Linked DNA regions of Arabidopsis thaliana. The protein of the gene in region 1 interacts with the protein of each later gene in a pairwise test. Each region holds a gene or a part of one and is shown in the gene's direction. Other genes may lie near its edges.

Region 1 (11,382 bases):
CTTTACACAAGACACATATATACATGCTTCAATATGATTAAAGAAACTACTATATGAACCAACCAAGTATATATTTATGATGAGGCTTGTGTTTGGATTCTATGTTTCTTTTGGTGGATGATCTGATTATCTTATTTCGTTTTTACAAACAAAATCTCTAAACAGATATTGACAATCATAAAAATATAATTAGTTTTTTCATCGTCTTTTTTCTTTATGATCACATATTTTTTCATTTTGTCCTTGTGAATATAATTTATACACGCAATAAGTTTCAGATGAAGGAAGTGGCGGAGGAAGAGACCAGCTAAGGCTAGACATGAATCGGTTACCGTCGTCTGAAGACGGAGACGATGAAGAATTCAGTCACGATGATGGCTCTGCTCCTCCGCGAAAGAAACTCCGTCTAACCAGAGAACAGTCACGTCTTCTTGAAGATAGTTTCAGACAGAATCATACCCTTAATCCCGTAATTTATTATTCACAATAAAACATAACTACTTCTGCTGTTTTTATATCTTTTAATTTTAGAACAAAAAGAATTGTATTGAATGTTAATCTATTTTGTTTTTTATTTTGTGAAACATAGAAACAAAAGGAAGTACTTGCCAAGCATTTGATGCTACGGCCAAGACAAATTGAAGTTTGGTTTCAAAACCGTAGAGCAAGGTACGGTTTTATTTTCCTCTTTGTTTCTTTCTTAAGAGACTTTTGTTTTCTTACATCATTGGTGGGTGGTTGATGATTAACGAGAGAGTTCACAAAAATATAAGCGTTAAACGTTGACGGAATATAAAAATAAAGCAGAAAAAATGAAATCTGAATCGGATTCGACCCACCCCGTTAACGTGTATATATAAGTCGTACCCTTAAATAATAAAAAGCTAATCTTGTCCTAAATCAAATATTTGTTTTATAATGTTTTCCTTCTAGGTCCTTCTTAAATTCTTGAAGAGTCACCACTTGTTTAGTTGTTACACATAGAGAAGGAAAATGTCAATTCCTAAATTTTTGAAGTCAAAGAAATTACGGAAAGAGATTAATTAACAGCCACACGTATTAATAAAAGTAATATGTTAATGTTGAAGTAGTTATATATATCAACATCACGTACATATGTGTTGTTGCATGGTTACTTTCAAAAGTGACAACAGCATTTTGGAGCCGCCAATTGTGATATCCATTACATGTTTAATGTGTGATGTAACTTGGAGCAAGTTTTACAAAACACTTTGGCCCGTGTACGTCAATACGTGTATACATTATTTCATTTACCTAAATATTCACGTGTCAATGCATATGTCTCAATGTTTCATGAACTCATTACGCATCAGTCGTTTTATTACAATTTCCCGGTAACGTATATAGGTTATATGTCTTTAGTTTCTGCATGAATATATATTGTTCATGTGTAAACACACATATTAGTAATCAATCTATATAATCCGATAGTCATTGTTATTCAAACTGAAAATTGGTTAGATTGTCTTTTCTTTTTTAGACTCAATATAAAAATAGTTCCTTTATCTAGATCCCACAATAATTGTGAGCAGATGGGAAAGGTATGGTGCAATAAATAAGAAGAATTTCAACATTGGTCGTATAACTATTATGACGGTTTCCCAAATTATAACTATAAGTCTATAATCATAACCACACCCTTTTTTATAATAGAAGTATTTTAAAGCCTTTTTTCGTTTTGAATTTTTTATATGTTTGATTTTTTATTTTTTAATAAATTTTTAAGTAAATCAATCAACGTGTTTTCTTTTTTGTGCCTCGTGTACTTGCTTTCTCATCAATGCCCTTTGACTCATAATTCATTGGGCAGTTCATGCGTTTTTAATTCCATGATTTTTTATATTTGCATCGTCACCTAGCATTTGATCATTGCTTGCATGTTATAATTTACAAGTTGTACAAAAACATCTATGAGTTTAATGTGTTTACGCGCGTACATGTCAAAAAATAACGTATCGTACTGTACGTTTTTGGATTTGTTTGGATTAGGAGCAAATTGAAGCAAACCGAGATGGAATGCGAGTATCTCAAAAGGTGGTTTGGTTCATTAACGGAAGAAAACCACAGGCTCCATAGAGAAGTAGAAGAGCTTAGAGCCATGAAGGTTGGCCCAACAACGGTGAACTCTGCCTCGAGCCTTACTATGTGTCCTCGCTGCGAGCGAGTTACCCCTGCCGCGAGCCCTTCGAGGGCGGTGGTGCCGGTTCCGGCTAAGAAAACGTTTCCGCCGCAAGAGCGTGATCGTTGATTTGTGTATCTTAATTATTTGAGTATGGTTTAGAAGTCAACGAAGGTCTGCTATTGAGCCTACAAAATATTAACGATCACATGATTTCGTGTAAATACTAAGAGACTCTGTTCCGCTTTGTAAATATTATTATTATTATTGTTAACCAGAAGTCCCTTATCATTTAATCTTGTTTGAAATAACATAAGATACTGTTTAGAAAAATTATATCTCAGATCATTATCACAAAAGTCTACTAAATTCAATTGTTGAGTTTATTACTCCCATATTGACCCGTAAAATTTGTTCGTTGTATTGGTCTCTGTTAGAGTTTGCTCGCGGTAACTAGGATGGGACTCCAGCTTTTTGGAGTTGTGGAAATCACGCGAATTTCTGAGTTTCTCTGAATTGGTGTTTCTTCTTTCGTTTTCGCTATAAACATTCGTTCTCCTCTTTTACTGTTTTGTTATCATCTTTTTTTTATAGATTTTGATCTTTTTCCTTTTCTTGTGTTTCTTGTAATTTCTGTCACAATTTCAAAAATGGTATAAATACTTTACATTTTACCAAAAAATGTAGGGAGTGCTACATTGTATATAAACTAATTTTTAACTAATTAAATTCTAAATGACATATGTTGATTTTTGGGGAAAAAAGAAAACTTGTGTTCTTTGAAGACAAATTATAGTTGCATTAATGTTGTGATCTAAGTCATAAGAACGCGAAACACTGTAGCCGTTAAATTTAGTGGCCCATCATAACTTGGGCCTTCGACTAGTTCAGTGGTTTGGTACCTCTTAGTTAAATTCGGTTCGGTCCGGTACCAAATAAATTTGGCCGAGGCCTAAAACTAGTTTGTGTTTATTTCGAGACACCAGACTTGATCAAGACATCAGACATACCCCTCTAGCTCATTGGTTTGTTAAACCATCAAGCGTCTGCTTAGGGAATAATAAGGACGCTTTAGCTCTTTTGAGTTTTGAGAAAATCACAGCTGTGATCTTTTCTTTTGCATGGGACCAGAATCCAGATCATCGTGTCTTACCATAAGATTTGATCCATTGCGAGATATTACATGTAACGAACGAACATGCATATGTTTATTATTATAAGCATATATATATATGAAAAGAGCATTGATCTTGTAGGTACGCCAAACTCGATACGTTTCTATCTAAGGGTCTATAATTCTATTTATATCATCGTAATCTTGATACTATAATATGTGTTTGAATGCTAGTTTATTTGTAGTTAATGTAACAAACAAAAAAAACGATTAATGGTGAGTGTGACTCGTGCTCTCGTTTCTTCAGTCTTCGCCATGTGATTAGGTGTGTGTTAGAAAATATGTCGTTAATTATAACAAATATACCCCCTCGTCCGAAAATACTCAAATCTCCTAAACAATATCCCATGATTATTGATTGGTCGTATCAACTATCAAGTAGTGTTAGGTCAAACTCTATTTGTCTAGAAAATAAATATATGGATCAGACATGATTGGGTTGGACATATAATTGAAGTGTCTTATGCGGGCGGAATAATAATAATATGATCTTGGACGGGAAATGATATACAGTACTCAAGTGCTTAATCCATGATCCTTTGAATTTGAGCAAGTTTATCTACATCACAGGTCTGGTAGATAAAGATGTGAATGATATTCTTACGACTATATATTTTGGTTACCAAGCAATAATCATTGTTACAATAACACATATATATTGTGGAGAGAAACAAAACTATAATTTGTTATTACCAATTCATTCGGATGCCATACTTCTTCAGTCGGCTACGATGTAAGTTTGATTTTATCGAAAATGTTGAGATCAATGATCACGGGTCAAGACGGCTTGCAGGGAGCTCGAAGACAAGTTGAACGTTGCCTTCGGAGATAGTGAAGCCGATCAAAAACCGTTTTTCAATAGTTACAATATCATTGAACTGATCTCCACATTCTCACTTTTCTATGTTTCCTGGTTTGTAAGATTTTTGAACGATCATTTTAATTTGCTTCCATTGTATATTTAAAGACCAAAGTCTTGATGGATGATGAAGTAGACTTGAAAATTGATGAAACCCGTTATTGTGTTGTTGTGTTACAAATCCCATCTATGATCGTTGATCTCATAGATGATCATTGATCATTTTTCTCATTTTTCTATGATGAAGTAGACTTTTTCCGGAAGGCTTATGAGAAAAAAATACTATTCTTGTTTTGTAAACATATGTGTTCAATAAAGAATCTATTTTCATTTGCAATCATTCGGATTAATTAAAGTGATTGCTGGATGAATGTTTTGAATCTCTTTTTACCATTTCGCTACAAAAATAAAAAAATTGCGAATTTCGCATCCAGATATATACTAGTATTAAGCATGGGAGATTATTCACTCCTCGAACACATCCTATGACTATGAGTTACACAAATCAAAATTTTTACATTCCAACGTTGATGATCCTTTGGATTTGGTATTTTTCCATGTCATACTATTGTAACTTTGTTTGTAATTTCTTTCTGGTCAATATTACTCTATTGTGGATGCAAGATCGCATAACTAGTCCTCCATCGAATCAAACATGATCACAATTTTAAGAATCAAACTGGACTTTTATATACCGAAATAAAGTTACAAAGATTTCGCTGAGATGTTCTTACTTCTTAGAGCTAGATGAGTAAGTAATATTAGGGATTTTCTAGTGTACAATTGATGCCTCTATACATTACTCTCCATCAGATTTATAGGACTTGACCTCGTCTGCTTCTCTGATATTTCCCAGAAATCTCGCTCCTTTTAGTTTCTGCTTGAATCTATCAAATCCTAGTGATTTTGCGACCACCTACTTCTTTATTCTTTCCTTTTTGTTGGTTATGTCCAAACTGATTTAAGAGTATCCACATTGGTTATTTTTATGAGTGTTTTTAGATGGCTATTTTTAAATATAAAAGAGTAAAACAAATAAAAAATATGAGGGTCATTAAAATGAAAATTATATCTTCCTAAAACATTTAAGACATCTATACCTTTAATATTATTTTATATGAAATACATCTATGAAAAATTATTCGATGAGGATGGTCTAATGAGTCGGAGAGTCTCAGACCAACATCTATCTATAACTATTTTTTTTTTCACTGGAAATATAGATTTCATTGATAGAAGATCTGAGTACAAGAGCTGACAAGAGAAACACTCTTCTAAAAGCCGGAGAGTACATGGGACCTTCCAGGAACTAAAAACATATTTAAATGAAACAAAGGGGAAAAAAACCGATCTAACAAATTACATCACATCTGATCAAGTACTTCCCAGACCCAAAATCCAAGAGTTCAAACGAAATATACAAAGTCTAAAACAACAATGATAAACTGATAGATCTGAGACTAGAAGCCTCACTTAACTCAACCTAAACACGAATGGGCGATGAGATAAAACCATCATCCAGAGACCCAAAGGAGTGAGAGCCTCATGAAGGAGAGAACGAGATCGGGATCTTCAGGTGGAATTTCAGAAGTCTGAGGCGAAAATTTGGATAGAAACGCTTCTGCCTTGGATGGATCGGCCAGATCTGACTCTGTTCTTGAAAAAGACAAAAGACAAACAGCAAAAACCTAAAAAGAAAAAGTTTTAGACTTTAAATATCTAGATCTGAAAATTCAGATTCACAACCGTTGGAAAAAAATCTCTCAGATGTGTCTAAAGAAAAAAGATAGAATAAGAGCAAAACAAAAGACTTCGGTTCCGGTGCTGAGAAAGCCACCGGAACCGGTAACCCTAAACGCAGGCGGCGGCTGAAGTTTTAGAGATAAGGGAGAGTAAAATTTTAAGAGTGAGAAAATGACGAGATGTGAGCTTGTAAATACTTTTTGTAATATAAGTAACTATAAGTAATATTTTTTTTGTAATACCTCAAATTTTATTTTTAATGATATTTACAAGTTTAACAAAACAAAAACAAAAAACAAAATATTATTCTAGTCATAGCAAGTGAGAATTTTTGAAAAGGGAATAAATGTGTGTAATTAATTCAACGGTCCAACAGTGGCTTGGACCTAACACTAATGACATTTGTTCTTCTTGTAATTTTTATGTGGCTGTCTTCTTGTACCAAGTACGTAGACAATAGTTTGATTCTATTTGGAATCAAAACTCAAATTACATTTACAAGAAAAACGATCACAGATACAGTAATTCGTAGTATTCGCCAAAGTTCCTTTTGCAACTTTCAAAAAGTGCAAAAACAAGACCACTTTTTCGTAATAAGATAGTAGCAAAAAAGCACGACTATTCCATAAAACTGTCCACGTCCCTCCAGAAAACTCCCCCCACATGCGATTTGCCACGTGTCCCCACTCAACTACACACAAAGCCATTTTAAATCAAATTATTAATCAAACTTAAAAAACGTAATCGTGTGCTGATGATGATGATGACACTGTCACTGCCTCAAAAACCTCTATAAATTAGTCCTCTTCACCGAATCCTTGTAAATCATTACTGTACTTTTCTCTCTTAACGGTTTCTTTATTATTCTTCCCATTCTACCCCTCTTCTTCCTTCTAATTCCCCCTCAAATGCCACTGTCTTCTCACTAAACTCCAAAACCCACCGGAAAAAATGATTACGTGGCACGACTTGTACACCGTCCTCACCGCCGTGGTACCACTTTACGTAGCTATGATTCTCGCCTACGGATCCGTACAGTGGTGGAAGATATTCTCACCAGACCAGTGCTCCGGCATCAACCGCTTCGTCGCTATCTTCGCCGTCCCTCTCCTCTCCTTCCACTTCATCTCCACCAACGATCCTTACGCCATGAATTTCCGCTTCGTCGCCGCCGACACGCTTCAAAAAATCATCATGCTCGTCTTACTTGCTCTATGGGCTAACCTAACCAAGAACGGTAGCTTGGAGTGGATGATCACAATCTTCTCTCTCAGCACTCTCCCAAACACTCTTGTCATGGGGATCCCTCTGTTGATCGCCATGTACGGAACCTACGCAGGTTCTCTAATGGTCCAAGTCGTTGTTCTTCAGTGTATCATTTGGTACACTCTCCTTCTCTTCCTCTTCGAGTACCGTGGCGCTAAGCTTCTTATTATGGAGCAGTTCCCGGAGACTGGTGCGTCTATTGTTTCGTTTAAAGTTGAATCCGACGTCGTTTCTCTCGACGGTCATGATTTTCTTGAGACGGATGCTGAGATAGGAAACGACGGGAAGCTTCATGTTACCGTGAGGAAATCAAACGCATCGAGACGGTCACTGATGATGACTCCACGGCCTTCGAATCTTACCGGAGCTGAGATCTATAGTCTTAGTTCGACTCCGAGAGGTTCTAACTTTAACCATTCTGATTTTTACTCTGTTATGGGGTTTCCCGGCGGGAGGCTTTCGAATTTTGGTCCGGCGGATTTGTACTCCGTTCAATCTTCTCGTGGTCCGACTCCACGGCCTTCGAACTTCGAAGAGAACAACGCCGTTAAATATGGATTTTACAATAACACTAACAGTTCTGTTCCGGCGGCCGGTTCGTACCCGGCTCCGAACCCGGAGTTTTCAACCGGTACGGGTGTTTCAACTAAACCGAATAAAATTCCTAAAGAAAACCAACAGCAACTGCAAGAGAAAGATAGCAAAGCGAGCCATGACGCTAAGGAGCTTCACATGTTTGTTTGGAGCTCAAGCGCTTCTCCGGTCTCCGACGTGTTTGGCGGAGGTGCAGGCGACAACGTGGCAACGGAACAATCTGAACAAGGTGCTAAGGAGATTCGGATGGTTGTCTCTGATCAACCTCGAAAGAGTAATGCTAGAGGTTCTTTTTTTTTTTTTTTTTTGTCATCAAATATTATTTAGCTAAAATTGCGGAAAATTGTTTACATAAATAATATGCTAGAGGTTTGTTGGTTTAATTTTATTATTATTCGAATACTATTATTTTTGTATGTATTCATGATTTTTGGTTTTCTCAGGTGGTGGTGATGATATCGGCGGTCTTGATAGTGGAGAGGGAGAAAGAGAGATAGAGAAAGCTACAGCAGGGCTGAATAAAATGGGGTCTAATTCCACGGCGGAGCTAGAGGCGGCTGGTGGAGATGGCGGCGGCAACAACGGAACACATATGCCGCCGACAAGTGTGATGACACGACTGATATTGATAATGGTGTGGAGAAAGCTGATCAGAAACCCAAACACGTACTCCAGTCTAATCGGTCTCATATGGGCTCTTGTTGCTTACCGGTCAGTGAGTCCAATCATTTTCTTACTTACAGATTTTATGGATAAATGTTATAATAAGAAAAGGAAATAATATAATCATCTATGCATGGAATAATTGTAGTGGGAACTAATAATGAGTATGGGTTGTTTTTGGAAGCAGGTGGCATGTGGCTATGCCCAAAATATTACAACAATCCATCTCCATACTCTCAGATGCTGGTCTTGGAATGGCTATGTTCAGCTTAGGTAAACACTAACCTTGCTTCATGCAAATCTAGACTTGTTTTGATGATGATCTAATCTTTAAAGTTGGGTTCAAATTTGTTCTCATCTTATCTGTTAAAAAAGATTCATTTAATGCAAAGTGGGTCTGTGTGTTTAATTAGTCGTAGTTGTCCAGCTTGTAATTGGTAAAAGTCATATAAACTGTACAAAGCACTTACCCAAAGAGAGAATCCTGACCCTCTGACCCAGACATGTTGGTGTGTCCGGTCCCCACGCCGAGTCCCCACTGGCTCTGTCTACTTATTTGGGTCTCACCAAGTAGATGACCTAACTCTTTGCTGTCAATTTTCTCAAATCCTTTTAGTTAATGAATTGCTTATTTTTGGTGTAATTTTAAGGTTTATTCATGGCACTTCAACCCAAAATCATTGCTTGTGGGAACTCTGTCGCCACGTTTGCCATGGCGGTCAGATTTATAACCGGTCCGGCCATCATGGCTGTTGCTGGGATTGCCATTGGCTTACACGGCGACCTTCTCCGTATAGCCATCGTTCAGGTATACAAATTTATAACGTTACATGATATAGCTAGGTCTATTATAAATATTACATGATCACGATGATGATGTTGATGAATGCATGAATTATTAGGCTGCGTTGCCTCAAGGAATAGTTCCGTTTGTGTTTGCAAAAGAGTACAATGTGCATCCCACGATTCTAAGCACTGGGTAAGTTCCAAACTTATTTTATGTTACAGCCACATTTTTATTTTTGTTACAAACTTACAATATATTAACAAATGTGTGAATGATGGTGAAAAATATGGATGCAGGGTCATATTTGGAATGTTAATAGCCTTACCTATAACTCTGGTCTACTATATTCTTCTTGGCCTTTGAATTGGTCCCTTCAGTATCAACTGGCTTTTGAGAGAGCCTCGGAGATTGGGCTATTTATTTCTCGGTAACGAGGAAATAAGCAAAGCCTTTATTTTTCGTGGGAAAGAGTGGAAGGTGAAGAAGAAGATATGCCTTTGGTTTTTGGTTCCAATATTTGTGGAACACAACAAAAGTACTTAGGATTTAGTGAACAAGACTTGAATGGATTAAGGATCTTGTCTTCATTAGACGCCAAGAAGAAAAAATCTCTCTTCCTTACCTTTATTTTTTCATTTTCTGTTTTTGTTAATTTATGTGTAGATTTTGGCTAAGCAGATATGTAATATGCACCTTTTTTTATTAATTGAAGTTTCTAGTTAAGTGGTTTATACTGAAACTAGCTTATGAGTTGGATTGAAATAGTCCTATACTATATATATACACCCTCGTACTGATTTATTTTTTCCACAAATACCATTAATATTAATTCATCGGGAAGAGATTCTCCGCTAGAGAGAGCCATTCATGAACCATTATGCTTACATAGGAGAAAATATTATTTCTACCCCGAGCTTTTTTAGCTAAACAATCAGTTCGAGTGTTAAAACTACGAGAAAAAAATCTAATACGGAAAGAAAGGAAAAAACAAACTAAGGAGCGATAGGATGCCAATTCCGCTGCGAATGTCGGTCAATCGTCTTGATTGTCAATGATAGAAATCAGGTCTGAACAGTCAGAAGCAAAAGTTTCAAAAGACAGTAATTTTATTTTATTACAGTTAATTTAAGCATATTCCTTGATAACAAACACTGTTTTACGACAGAAGCAAAATCCTAATCTCTAATTAATTAATCCTATGATCATACGATGCATGTTTACGGTCCCGTTTTTTTAAGAATACACGATCTCTAGCAGAAAAAAATCTCAAAAAGTTTATGTTAACTTCAAATTCTGTGAACTTCCGCACATGAATCTAAAGACCACCCTTTATAGAAAAAATGGTCCCGAGACTATCAAACGTAGTCTTTATAATGTCAAAGTAGTGTGAATCTCATTTTTCAAACATTTTTAATGTTATGAATTGATCATCTGATTTTCGTATTAGGATTGGTCATTCAAATACGGTATGATTACTCATCCAACAAGTAGTAATTTAACGAGGCATCAATATACTATATAGAAAACAAAGCAAATATTCCGAAACTAACATCAAAACTAATGGGAGAGTGGATGTGAAGAAAATTCAATGGAATGCAAAATCTAAGATGGACCAACATGCAGGCTTCGCCCGAAAGCGACGACGCATTTCACTTGACGACAAAAGTTGCCATATTATATCTTTTGCAAGTAAAACTTGTTGTGTTACTCGTTTACACACATGCCCCGATATTCTTATTCTTATCTATATGCCCATAGAAGTTGTGAGTTCTTTTATTTTGGGAAATTCTAAAGGATTCGTTTTGAACTATACATTTTTAAACCTATAGAGTTCAAACTTTTATGGAAAAAGAAAAACTTCCCACGTGTGTTTCGAACATCAAAATTCGAGCATCAAAGTATTATAACAACATGGACCACATTTTCGATTATATCAACATGTATATCTTCGTGGAACTAATCAACAGTCAAAATGTTGAGTTTATCATATTTTCGTGGAACTAATCAACAGTCAAAATATTGTGTTTATCATATTCCCACATAGTATCGATAATATCACCAAAAAGTTTTTTTCATTCCTTCAAAACTGAACAACTTCGATCATGCATTCACTTTGAAAGTAGCAGCTGGCTATTCCTTTAACTGATTTAATTGTG
Region 2 (11,382 bases), on another chromosome or scaffold:
AGGTTTTAAAAGTCAAATCAGAGACTTTAGTACCTGCAAATCCTGATATTCTTGATGGAGTAGACGATCTCATGCAACTAAGTTATTTAAATGAGCCAGCAGTGTTGTACAACCTTGAGTATAGGTACAACCAGGACATGATATATGTAAGCCGTTTGTGCTAATACAGTTTATTTTTTCTGACATGTTGACAATCTCTTCTCTGAACTATATATAGTAAAATGTTATACCCTTTACTATTTGCTTTTCTGAATTTTCCTTTATGGTGCTAGACAAAAGCAGGGCCGGTTCTGGTGGCTGTGAATCCCTTCAAGGAGGTTCCTTTGTACGGTAATCGCAACATTGAAGCATACAGGAAGAGATCAAATGAGAGCCCTCATGTCTATGCTATTGCAGATACAGCAATACGTGAAATGATACGAGGTTGGATCATGATTTTTTTTTTTAATATGTTCATCTTCTTAATGTATTACATTCTATGTTTTCAGTCTTATCTTTTCCTGTTTCCATTACAGATGAAGTTAACCAATCAATCATTATCAGGTTAGTCAAAGTTTCCTCCTTAAATATGTTAACTGTAACAACTTAAGTGTAAGCAAAACTTGTGAAGCTTACGAGTGTCTATATTTGCTCATGAATTATTTCATACTAATATTGCATATTTTCGTGCCTCTGTAGTATTAATATAGTGTGGGACTAAATCTATTTGCCAAAACTTATTAGTTTTGACCTGAATAGATGCATTAGTGCGACTATGGAAAATAGTGGATTGGTTGAAAGAATGAGTTCTTCCACTTTGTGCATCTTGAAGTGTTTTCTTATCACAAGATTTCTTTTTCATCCAGTGGAGAGAGTGGAGCAGGAAAGACTGAGACAGCAAAGATAGCGATGCAATACTTGGCTGCTCTTGGAGGTGGAAGTGGGATCGAGTATGAGATACTAAAGACTAATCCCATCTTGGAAGCATTTGGAAATGCAAAAACATTGAGAAACGATAATTCTAGTCGTTTTGTAAGCGTCCAAACTCCTTGTTTACTCTTATTTCTTTTACTCTGTGTCTTTAAAACTTCTGGGTCTTTATTTATCTCTTAATCTTTCTCTGATGTTAAATTTGACAGGGTAAGTTGATAGAAATTCATTTTAGTGAAACAGGGAAGATTTCGGGTGCTCAAATTCAAACATGTAAGCATAAACCTTAGTGCTGCTTCACACATTTTTTTCAATTTTCCTTTACAAAATCTGACAGCTTTTTTCTTGTTGTCTTAAATTTTGCAGTTTTACTAGAAAAGGTAAATTCCTCAATATTTTTGCTGCTTCAGTTTCTTTCATGTTGAAAAATGATTTTTAATATTGACATCCTTTCATGTTCTGTTGTCACACTTTCATAGTCAAGAGTGGTTCAATGTACGGAAGGAGAAAGGTCATATCATATATTCTATCAACTTTGTGCTGGGGCTTCACCTACACTTAGAGGTATTATTTGGATATCTGATCAACAGTTCTCTTTTAAAGATCTTATGTTGGATCTATTGCAAGTGAAAATGATTAGTGTGATAGAAATTTACATATTCATATATATGGTTACTGACTAACTGGTGGAACAATATTGTTTATCTGACGTTTTGTTTCGCTCATTGTTAAATCAGAGAAGTTAAATTTGACAAGTGCAAAACAGTATAACTATTTGAAACAAAGCAATTGCTATTCAATTAACGGAGTTGATGACGCTGAACGTTTTCACGCCGTTAAGGTAACTCCCTCATTAAGTCAAACCTTTTCTCTTTTTCTTTCTCTGCAACTTCGAGACATTTATTTCGACCTTTTACGTTGCCGTTTCAGGAAGCTTTAGATATTGTGCATGTTAGTAAAGAAGATCAAGAAAATGTATTTGCAATGCTTGCTGCAGTATTATGGCTAGGGAATGTTTCTTTTACCATTATTGACAACGAAAATCACGTTGAACCTGAACCAGATGAAAGTATGGCTCTTCAGTCCTTAATAGTGATATACCTGCTCCTTTAAATTTATCACGTTTTTCTGTATTTTGTTCGAAAATGTCACCTCTATATTTTTTGTTTCATTCACTTGGAGCAAATTTTCTGCTTAATCTCTGTAGCTCATTTGGCAGGGTGCGCAATGCAAGGCTATATAACTGCTGTTTTGTTTTTTTGTTTTCCAGGTTTGTCAACTGTTGCTAAATTGATTGGGTGCAACATCAATGAGCTTAAGCTAGCTCTATCAAAGCGTAATATGAGAGTTAATAATGATACTATTGTACAGAAGCTAACACTATCGCAGGTAGGCCTTTTAGAAAGATTTTTTTTTTCACTTGATTCTTTGTGTGTACTTTTATTCTGAGTAGGGTTGGTTTTAACACTGTAATCATGATCTATGCCCCCTCTTACTTATTTGGAATCAAGCCTTGTTCATTTATTTTTGTGGTGAAAGTTTTTCTTATTTGCTTCCAGGCCATTGACGCAAGAGATGCTTTAGCAAAGTCAATCTATGCCTGCCTATTTGACTGGCTAGTTGAACAGATTAACAAATCTCTTGCGGTGGGAAAGAGGAGAACTGGCAGATCCATCAGCATTCTTGATATCTATGGCTTTGAATCATTCAATGTATGCTGGTTTTTAGTCTCCCTTTGCGTTTTACTGCATGAACTTACATAAGCTATCTGCACATTACATCTTCTGTGTTACATTTTGTACCAATGTTAATTTGGTTTGCTGAATAAATACTATACATGTTGCAGAAAAATAGTTTTGAGCAGTTCTGTATAAATTATGCAAATGAGAGATTGCAGCAACACTTCAACCGTCATCTCTTCAAGCTTGAGCAGGAGGTAACGTAAACCCCTTTCTGCTATGGGTCCTTGTAGTATATCTAGGCAGAGCATGGACATGTACACACCAGCTACCGAGTTCTGAGGGATTTATATTTCTGTCTTCTCTTCCAGGAATATATTCAGGATGGCATTGACTGGACAAGGGTTGATTTTGAGGACAACCAAGAATGTCTTAGTCTCTTTGAAAAGGTAATGTGATAGCTAATTTCATCTAGAGTCAGCAATCATCATATGTTACATATCAGTATGTCTGTTACTCAGGATAATATATTAACATTTTGCCGATGATGTCTCATCATCAAGCTGCATAGCAACTGTTGAGTTTATCGTGTTGGAACGATCTATTGTTATATCAAAACATGTGTTTAAAGACAATTAAGAATCGTTTCTGTGCAGAAACCATTAGGGCTGCTTTCTCTTCTGGATGAGGAATCCACATTTCCAAATGGCACAGATTTGACACTTGCCAACAAGCTTAAACAACATCTAAATGATAATTCCTGTTTTAGAGGAGATCGGGGGAAGGCTTTCACAGTTGCGCATTATGCTGGAGAGGTAATAGCTCTAAAAACTCAGTGGCACCATTTTACATGATATATCAGAACACAAGACATGATATAGAGTAGAGTTTCTGGGATCAATTTTGAGGTTTAGAAATCAAGAATGAATCAGTAACCTAGTGTGATTTTTTTCTAACTCAGGTTACATATGAGACGACTGGATTTCTAGAGAAGAACCGAGATTTGTTGCATTCAGATTCTATTCAACTTTTGTCGTCTTGCTCTTGCCACCTCCCTCAGGCGTTTGCTTCTAGTATGCTCATTTATTCTGAAAAACCTCTTGTCGGTCCTTTACACAAAGCAGGTGGAGCTGATTCCCAGCGACTGAGTGTAGCAACTAAATTTAAGGTTGGGTGATTTCCTTAAACACAGCTTGCTTCTATTTCTGCTCTTAAAATTTGTTGAGGGTTTACTCATCACAGCTTTCATCTCATCAACATATGTTGTCCATTTCTTGTCCAAAAGGCTTCTGCTTACTTTAGAAGGAAACGTCATCTTATAATATTTGATTAGTGACGATGCCGGGATATTTTTTTCAGGGTCAACTTTTCCAATTGATGCAACGTCTAGGGAACACTACCCCACATTTTATTCGCTGCATAAAGCCAAACAATGTTCAGTCTGCCGGGTTGTATGAGCAAGGACTTGTCTTACAGCAGCTAAGATGTTGTGGTGTCCTAGAGGTCGTTCGAATATCCCGGTCTGGATTTCCCACGAGAATGTTTCATCATAAATTTGCCCGAAGGTAACAACTCCATCTCCAGTTGGTGCACTTTCATTGTATTGCATGTCCTCTTATAATAGGCTTCCCATACTTTTTAGTTGCAATAATGTTGAATGGTCATGCTGTTTTTCTTTTGTCATACTTTAGGTATGGTTTCCTTCTGCTGGAGAACATTGCAGCAAAAGATCCTCTAAGTGTTTCGGTTGCAATTCTCCATCAGTTTAATATCTTGCCAGAGATGTACCAAGTTGGCTACACAAAATTGTTTTTCAGAACTGGCCAGGTACTATAACTAGTCGTCTGATGTCTTGACTTTAGGGGCCACAAATTAGACATTCTTACTGCAGTATACTTGCTTCACCATTGCAGATTGGGGTTCTTGAAGATACAAGGAATCGCACTCTGCATGGCATTTTACGTCTTCAAAGTTATTTTAGAGGGCACCAAGCTCGCTGTCGTCTAAAAGAGCTTAAAACCGGAATTACTATTCTTCAATCATGTATTGCCCCTTGTCTCATTTCAATATCTTGGTTTGTATTTGTTATGTCGTTAGAAACCATACCTCACACATCCTTCTGTTTCAGTTGTTCGTGGAGAAAAGATGAGAAAGGAATACACGGAGTTACTGCAGAGGCATCGAGCTTCTGCTGCTATACAAAGCCATGTTAAGAGAAGGATTGCTAGCCAACAGTATAAAGCCACAGTTGATGCATCTGCTGTAATACAATCAGGTAAAATAGGGTTGATTAATTCTCATGATTGAAACAAATTAAACCTCAAAATATATTTTTAAAAAATAGAAGTTTCAAGAAATGCTGAAACCTTTTTCTGTAGCAATTCGTGGAGAGCTGGTTAGAAGATGTGCGGGGGATATTGGATGGCTTAGTTCTGGTGGCACCAAGGTCCTCTCAAAGCTTTCATTCTCTTCGTGCATTTGACTACATGATATATATGCATATTGCTAGACTCTTAAACCAATTCTTTATGTAGAGAAATGAGTCAGACGAGGTGCTAGTGAAGGCATCATATCTTTCCGATCTTCAGCGTAGGGTTCTTAGAACCGAAGCTGCTCTTCGTGAGAAAGAAGAGGAGAACGACATCCTCCGACAAAGAGTCCAGCAGTACGATAACCGGTGGTCTGAATATGAAACAAAGATGAAATCCATGGAAGAAATTTGGCAAAAGCAGATGAAATCTTTGCAATCCAGTCTTTCCATCGCAAAGAAAAGCCTAGAGGTTGAGGACTCAGCGAGAAACTCGGATGCATCGGTGAATGCAAGCGATGCAACAGATTTAGATTCAGGAGGTAGTCATTACCAAATGGGCCATGGCAGGTCAAGAAGTGTAGGCGTGGGTTTAAGCGTGATAAGCCGGTTAGCTGAGGAATTTGGACAAAGAGCTCAGGTATTTGGTGACGACAGAAAGTTCTTGATGGAAGTGAAATCTGGTCAGGTGGAAGCAAACTTGAATCCGGACCGGGAGCTACGAAGGCTGAAACAGATGTTTGAGACATGGAAGAAAGATTATGGAGGGAGACTAAGGGAAACGAAACTGATACTTAGCAAACTTGGGAGTGAAGAAACAGGTGGTTCAGCGGAGAAGGTGAAGATGAATTGGTGGGGGAGGTTGAGGAGTACTAGGTATTAATGGTTACTTCCTTTTCTTGAGACGCACGTCTCCTTTTCTACACGTTTGATGTAACTACGGTTTTTGGCTTTGCTGCTAGAAGTGAGAAGGCTCCTTGGGACTGAAAGAGTCATGTTTTTCATTTGCCACCCAAATCTATTGGCAAATTCAGTAAATAATTTTTATATTATACAGTATATCTATTTGTCAAGGATTCCAAAGTCCAGTGAACCATTGCTGTATTTGAATATAAATAGTCGTTGCAAAAACAAATCAATATTTATATTTCTTAAATAGTTAAGTTTTTTATCAAGCTAATTAAAATGGACATAGCGAGAAATAACTACAAGGTGGTAAACTATGATAATAATATAAATTTCCTTACAAGTTTGTTTGTTTGTAAACATATGGAGTTAGAAAGGGAAAAAAAAATTGTATAGATTTTATACAAGATTGTTTTGAGTTTAAAAAATCTTTATCGTGTTTGGACAATGTGTATTTTAAAAACTATTTAACTACTAGTTTTTTTGGCCGATTTCAGTGATATCTCGACTTAGACTCTACAAAAATTTAGATAATTTGATGGATAAAATTACATATGATAAATCATGCACTTGTATCAGATGGTCAGTTGGTGGAATCCCTCTTCAACAAGTGATCTTTCTTGGAATGTTGTCGTGGGTTAAAAAAAAACTCAATCCAGCCCAAACCCGAAATGAACATGTCTGAGAAAAATCATTTCTATTCTTGCAGCTGAGTAAACTCTTCACAATTTAAATTTCGAATTACCTTTGCGATGCATCACTTTTTTAAGTGGAACTAAGTTTCGGATCACCTCTCGACCAAGTATAAACCAAACCAACACCAATATATACTTTCCGTAATATTTGGCCCTCCGACTAGTGATTTTTTCGGATGTAATTTGAACATTGGAGATTTTTTGGTGAGACAAATTCCATTTTGTCATTTTTAGAGGTCATCATAACAATACTTTTCCTTCTCAAATTATCCCTAACCAGAAGCCAAATGGGAAGACCCAAACATAAACATTGAAATGAATCGAGTGAGGTTCGCTCTTGAACGATCGTATTGCTAATGCCTATCCAAGATCATTGATTCATTTCTAACATATCCCGTACGGTCTCCCACAAACAACCTTCCTCAAAAGTTCAACATCACATAGATTTCGAAATGTGTCTTTAGACACAATTTGTTTAACAAGACTTTTAAATAATTTTTTTTAGGAGTTTTTAATTATCAAAAAGGTCTTACTCAAATTCAACAACACATATATCGAAATGTGTTTTTTTAAAAAAATTAAAAAGAAGAAAAAATACTATAAAGAAGGTTTAAGTATTTGTGGAATTTTATTTAGGTGTTATCAATTGTCACATTCAAGTAGACAAATAAAATTACCAAGAAAAGAATTGCAAAAACATTGAAAATGTGTAGTATACTCCATTAAAGATTTGTGTAATGAAGTAATAGATAAAAATTAAATTGATGTTTAATATGTTGCCAAAAAAATGATTAAAAATAAATATCCAACGAATAGAGTTTGGGGATGGAGGAAGACCAAATCGGGTTCGGGTCGAGATTGTTTGGTTCGTTGTGTTTCCCCTTTCTCTCTCTCTCCCTCTTTCCCCCTTACGTAACCCTAAGCGGACGGAGCAATGCTCTGCTAGATCTATCTTTCTTTCAATTCTTCACCAGAGATCGTCGAGACTCACCATTGAAATCGAAGAAACAGCACCAATTTCCACTTCACCACCGAAAGAGAGAGACAGAGAGGATAATAAAAGGCCGCCATGGATTTAGATCAATGGATTTCCAAGGTTAAAGACGGCCAACATCTCTCTGAGGACGAGCTTCAACTTCTCTGCGAATACGTACGCCTTCTTCTTCTTTCTTCTTTCTTCTCTTGCTTGCTTTCTCTTCCCCGAATATTCATGCATCTACAAAAACCCAATTCTTCGCTTACTCTTTTGAGACTTTAGAGCTTGCTTTGTGGCACTTTACTTTGAATCTGGTCTCTCTCCCTTACTGTTTCCTTTGCCATTTTGGTCTACGGATTTTAGGGTTTTTCTCTCATTTTTCCAATAGAGGATTTATTGACTTTGCTATTTCAATTCTAAATTCTAAGGAATTAGGGATAAGTTTAGCTCTTCTTTAGCCAATTTATGGATGCACCAAGTCCACGCTTGCAAACTGTTATTTGAGGATTTATTATAGTAATTTTAGTGTTGAAACTTGTAGTAGCAGCCGTCTTCTTCTTTTTTCATGACAATGATTTGCTAAGATACTCTGGTAATTCACAAGATATTTTGACTATTATATAGGTGAAAGAAATTCTTATTGAGGAATCAAATGTACAACCTGTCAACAGTCCTGTCACCGTCTGTGGTGATATCCATGGCCAGTTTCATGATCTTATGAAACTTTTCCAGACCGGAGGTCATGTTCCCGAGACCAATTACATATTTATGGTATAGACTCTGACTTTGGGCGTAGGCTCGTATGACATATCAATATGTAACACATAGTTTAATTATCTGTGGGGGATTTTCTCAGGGGGATTTCGTTGATAGAGGTTACAACAGTCTTGAAGTTTTCACCATTCTTTTGCTTCTTAAAGCAAGGTAAGATTTTCCGTAGAAATTGTGCGTTATATATGTCATGGATCGTCATCCTTCCGTTTCACACTGTATATCATAGTTCTCTTGAGAATGCTCTTTAAGCTGTAAACGCATTGCTCTACTGGAAAATCGATTTAACTTGTATTCCAGGAAATTTATATTCTAACTTACTTTGCTGTGAGCTTAAAATCACTCGTTTCCTTGTATTTCAATATGTAGACATCCAGCCAATATCACTCTTTTGCGTGGAAATCATGAAAGTAGACAGCTAACTCAGGTATGCATTATTCTAATCCATTTATATCTATTGTTGCTGACTTGCTGTGCTCTTCACGCAGTTACTGGTTGAGAAGTAATTTTCGCTCAATTGTTATAACTAGTTTTGAAAGTTTATTTTGTACATGTGGCAATGCCATGCTAGATATAGGCATAGATGTTAACTAAGATGCATTTTATGTGAACCCTTTGCAACCATAAGTTTTCTTCTCGGAAGCTCTTGATTTATCTCTATCCTACACCATATCCTATATCTTTTAACATCCACTGTCAAGGACGAAGATTGTAGTGATATTTTGTGCCCTGCAGGTTCATTTTTATAGTTTTCTTAAATTGTCGTACCAATTTTATATTTGCTAGGTGTATGGTTTCTATGACGAATGCCAAAGGAAGTATGGTAATGCTAATGCTTGGAGATATTGCACGGATGTTTTTGACTATCTTACACTTTCAGCTATTATAGATGGCACTGTAAGTATTTCTCAGCTTCTTTGGCATTGTGTTATGATGTGTTCTTGTATAATTTTATGAATGCATAAGTTAGCTGTATACCATATTAAAACGTATTGCATCCTCAATGTAGGTTCTATGTGTTCATGGTGGCCTTTCACCTGATGTACGGACAATTGACCAGGTTAAAATGTGCTATTTTAAATTACTTTTGGTTTTCACCATGCAAGTGTTATTTATGATTAGATTAAATCTCATTTACTCATTTAGATGTTATTTTGTTCTCTAGATAAGATTGATTGAGCGGAATTGCGAAATACCGCATGAAGGACCCTTCTGTGATCTTATGTGGAGTGATCCTGAAGATATTGAAACATGGGCTGTCAGTCCACGTGGAGCTGGTTGGCTTTTCGGGTCCAGGGTTACCACTGAGGTATTTATATTTTTTTCTGGGGTTGAAATTTGAATAAGGTGTGAAAAGAAATAAATGTATTTCAGTTCCCTGATCTGTGGTTTTGCTTCTTGTGCAGTTTAACCATATTAACAATCTTGATCTAGTATGTCGCGCTCACCAGCTTGTACAAGAAGGTCTCAAGTACATGTTCCAAGATAAAGGTCTTGTAACTGTAAGTGCCTTGCTTCCTTATGATCATTTTGGATAGTTGGAAGTATAATCTGCTTGGTGATGTTTCTTCTCTTTATTTTTTTTGTAAAGGTGTGGTCTGCGCCTAATTACTGCTACCGTTGTGGGAATGTGGCTTCTATATTGAGTTTCAATGACAACATGGTGAGGCATTTGTTTTCTCTTTTGTTACTGATCTGCCACAATATCTTGTTTCATGTTCTTCTTACTTTTATGCACTCGTCTTCGGATTCTACTTTTCCTTTTTGATTAAATAAGTTACTGCCTTTGATACTTGTCTCTCGACCCAAACATATACACATGAGTGACTCTTGTGAGATAGAGTTATGATGTTTAAGCCATTTATTTAGTAACAATTCACAGTTCGCGTGGAATCAGTCTGTCCATATTGATTGTGCTCTGTGTGTTACTTTTCATATATAGACCTGTTTCTGGGAAGTGTTTAGGATCTGGTCCTCACTGACAGTAATGATTTGTTAAAATATGCTTAATTACCAGGAAAGGGAAGTGAAGTTCTTCACGGAGACAGAAGAGAACAATCAAATGAGAGGGCCAAGGACAGGTGTTCCTTATTTCCTGTGATTCATGATGATGATCCTACATCATTATTAGTCTCGTATTGCTCTTATCAAGTTAGCCATTATCATGATTGCCATTGGCTTATGTTCTTTCAAGGTATATCTTCTGATGTTGTTTACACTTCCATTGTTTTTTTTTTCCTTTTTCCATTTTGGAAACATTTTCTTGTGAAAGTGAATGTCACTTTGGTAATTTTAGTGGTTTTGATGCACTTTAACCTGAACCTCTTCTGGATGTTATTATTATACGTGCTTTCTTTCTTGTTTTGTTTCATCTTTGTTCTGTAAGCAAGACCAATTTTTATCATCTCAGCTTATTTGCAGTTTAGCACGGTTTGATTAGGTTCTGGGTTAATCTCAGGCTTATAAAATTCATCAAGCTCAAAAATAGTCCACTACAAGAACATAGAAGACCATTAATCAACATTCAACAGTAATTTGTTTCTAATCTAATTATTTGGTTTTGTTCAATAATCCTAGCAAAAATTCACGAAAGAGTTAATAATTTTGTAACCGGAATCATAGATAGGCCGGTTTATCCAAACCGGATATGACCTGTCCTCTATTAACAAACTGGTCGCGAGTCTCTAGGCAACTAAAACGGACACGTAATATGATAATAAGGCGTGGACTCGTATCTCTCGGCACTCACTTTCTCGCGACTCGTAGTCGTCTTCTCCACTTCGATACTCCTCTCTCTTGCCTCGTTCCTCTTGTTCCTCGCCGCCGCTCTATTCTACGGCTGTCTTCTTCTTTTTCCTCTTCCTCTGAAACCGGAGCTGCGTCAGTGCGGTTGACATCACCGAGAGACATGGCGGAATCGAGATCCCCTCCTGTAGCGAAGAAGGTGGAGCATGTGATGGAGATGTTCGGTGACGTTAGGGTTGACAATTACTACTGGCTCCGTGACGATTCTCGCACCAATCCCGACATGCTTTCTTATCTTCGTGAAGAAAATCACTACACTGATTTCGTCATGTCTGGTGAGTCTTTTCAAGTTGCCTCTGTCAGTGACGTTGTGATACTTAGGGGATTAGGGTT

The links.
Region 2: the proteins of PIN4 (region 1) and FYPP1 interact in a protein complementation assay, tested with the Arabidopsis thaliana proteins (one study listed by BioGRID).

The regions. Positions count from the first base shown.
Region 1 is NC_003071.7:178,685-190,066, reverse strand, and holds PIN4 (Auxin efflux carrier family protein), read left to right. Parts: upstream 1-6,302; 5' UTR 6,303-6,867; coding exon 6,868-8,062; intron 8,063-8,219; coding exon 8,220-8,487; intron 8,488-8,626; coding exon 8,627-8,712; coding exon of another isoform or gene 8,713-8,723; exon of another isoform or gene 8,724-9,089; coding exon 9,090-9,247; intron 9,248-9,341; coding exon 9,342-9,418; intron 9,419-9,522; coding exon 9,523-9,589; 3' UTR 9,590-10,034; downstream 10,035-11,382. Other genes in the region: HB17 (homeobox-leucine zipper protein 17), read left to right, coding at 279-469, 590-669, 2,011-2,269. UniProt on the Arabidopsis thaliana protein: Acts as a component of the auxin efflux carrier. Plays a role in generating a sink for auxin into columella cells. Maintains the endogenous auxin gradient, which is essential for correct root patterning.
Region 2 is NC_003070.9:18,651,328-18,662,709, forward strand, and holds FYPP1 (Calcineurin-like metallo-phosphoesterase superfamily protein), read left to right. Parts: upstream 1-7,180; 5' UTR 7,181-7,566; coding exon 7,567-7,647; intron 7,648-8,097; coding exon 8,098-8,244; intron 8,245-8,329; coding exon 8,330-8,397; intron 8,398-8,613; coding exon 8,614-8,671; intron 8,672-9,030; coding exon 9,031-9,141; intron 9,142-9,253; coding exon 9,254-9,304; intron 9,305-9,409; coding exon 9,410-9,553; intron 9,554-9,650; coding exon 9,651-9,746; intron 9,747-9,835; coding exon 9,836-9,907; intron 9,908-10,261; coding exon 10,262-10,345; 3' UTR 10,346-10,725; downstream 10,726-11,382. Other genes in the region: VIIIA (P-loop containing nucleoside triphosphate hydrolases superfamily protein), read left to right, coding at 3-146, 273-423, 516-543, 846-1,011, 1,119-1,182, 1,276-1,289, 1,389-1,473, 1,647-1,750 and 13 more; AT1G50380 (Prolyl oligopeptidase family protein), read left to right, coding at 10,955-11,324. UniProt on the Arabidopsis thaliana protein: Catalytic subunit of protein phosphatase 6 (PP6). Dephosphorylates phosphorylated phytochromes, with a preference toward Pfr forms.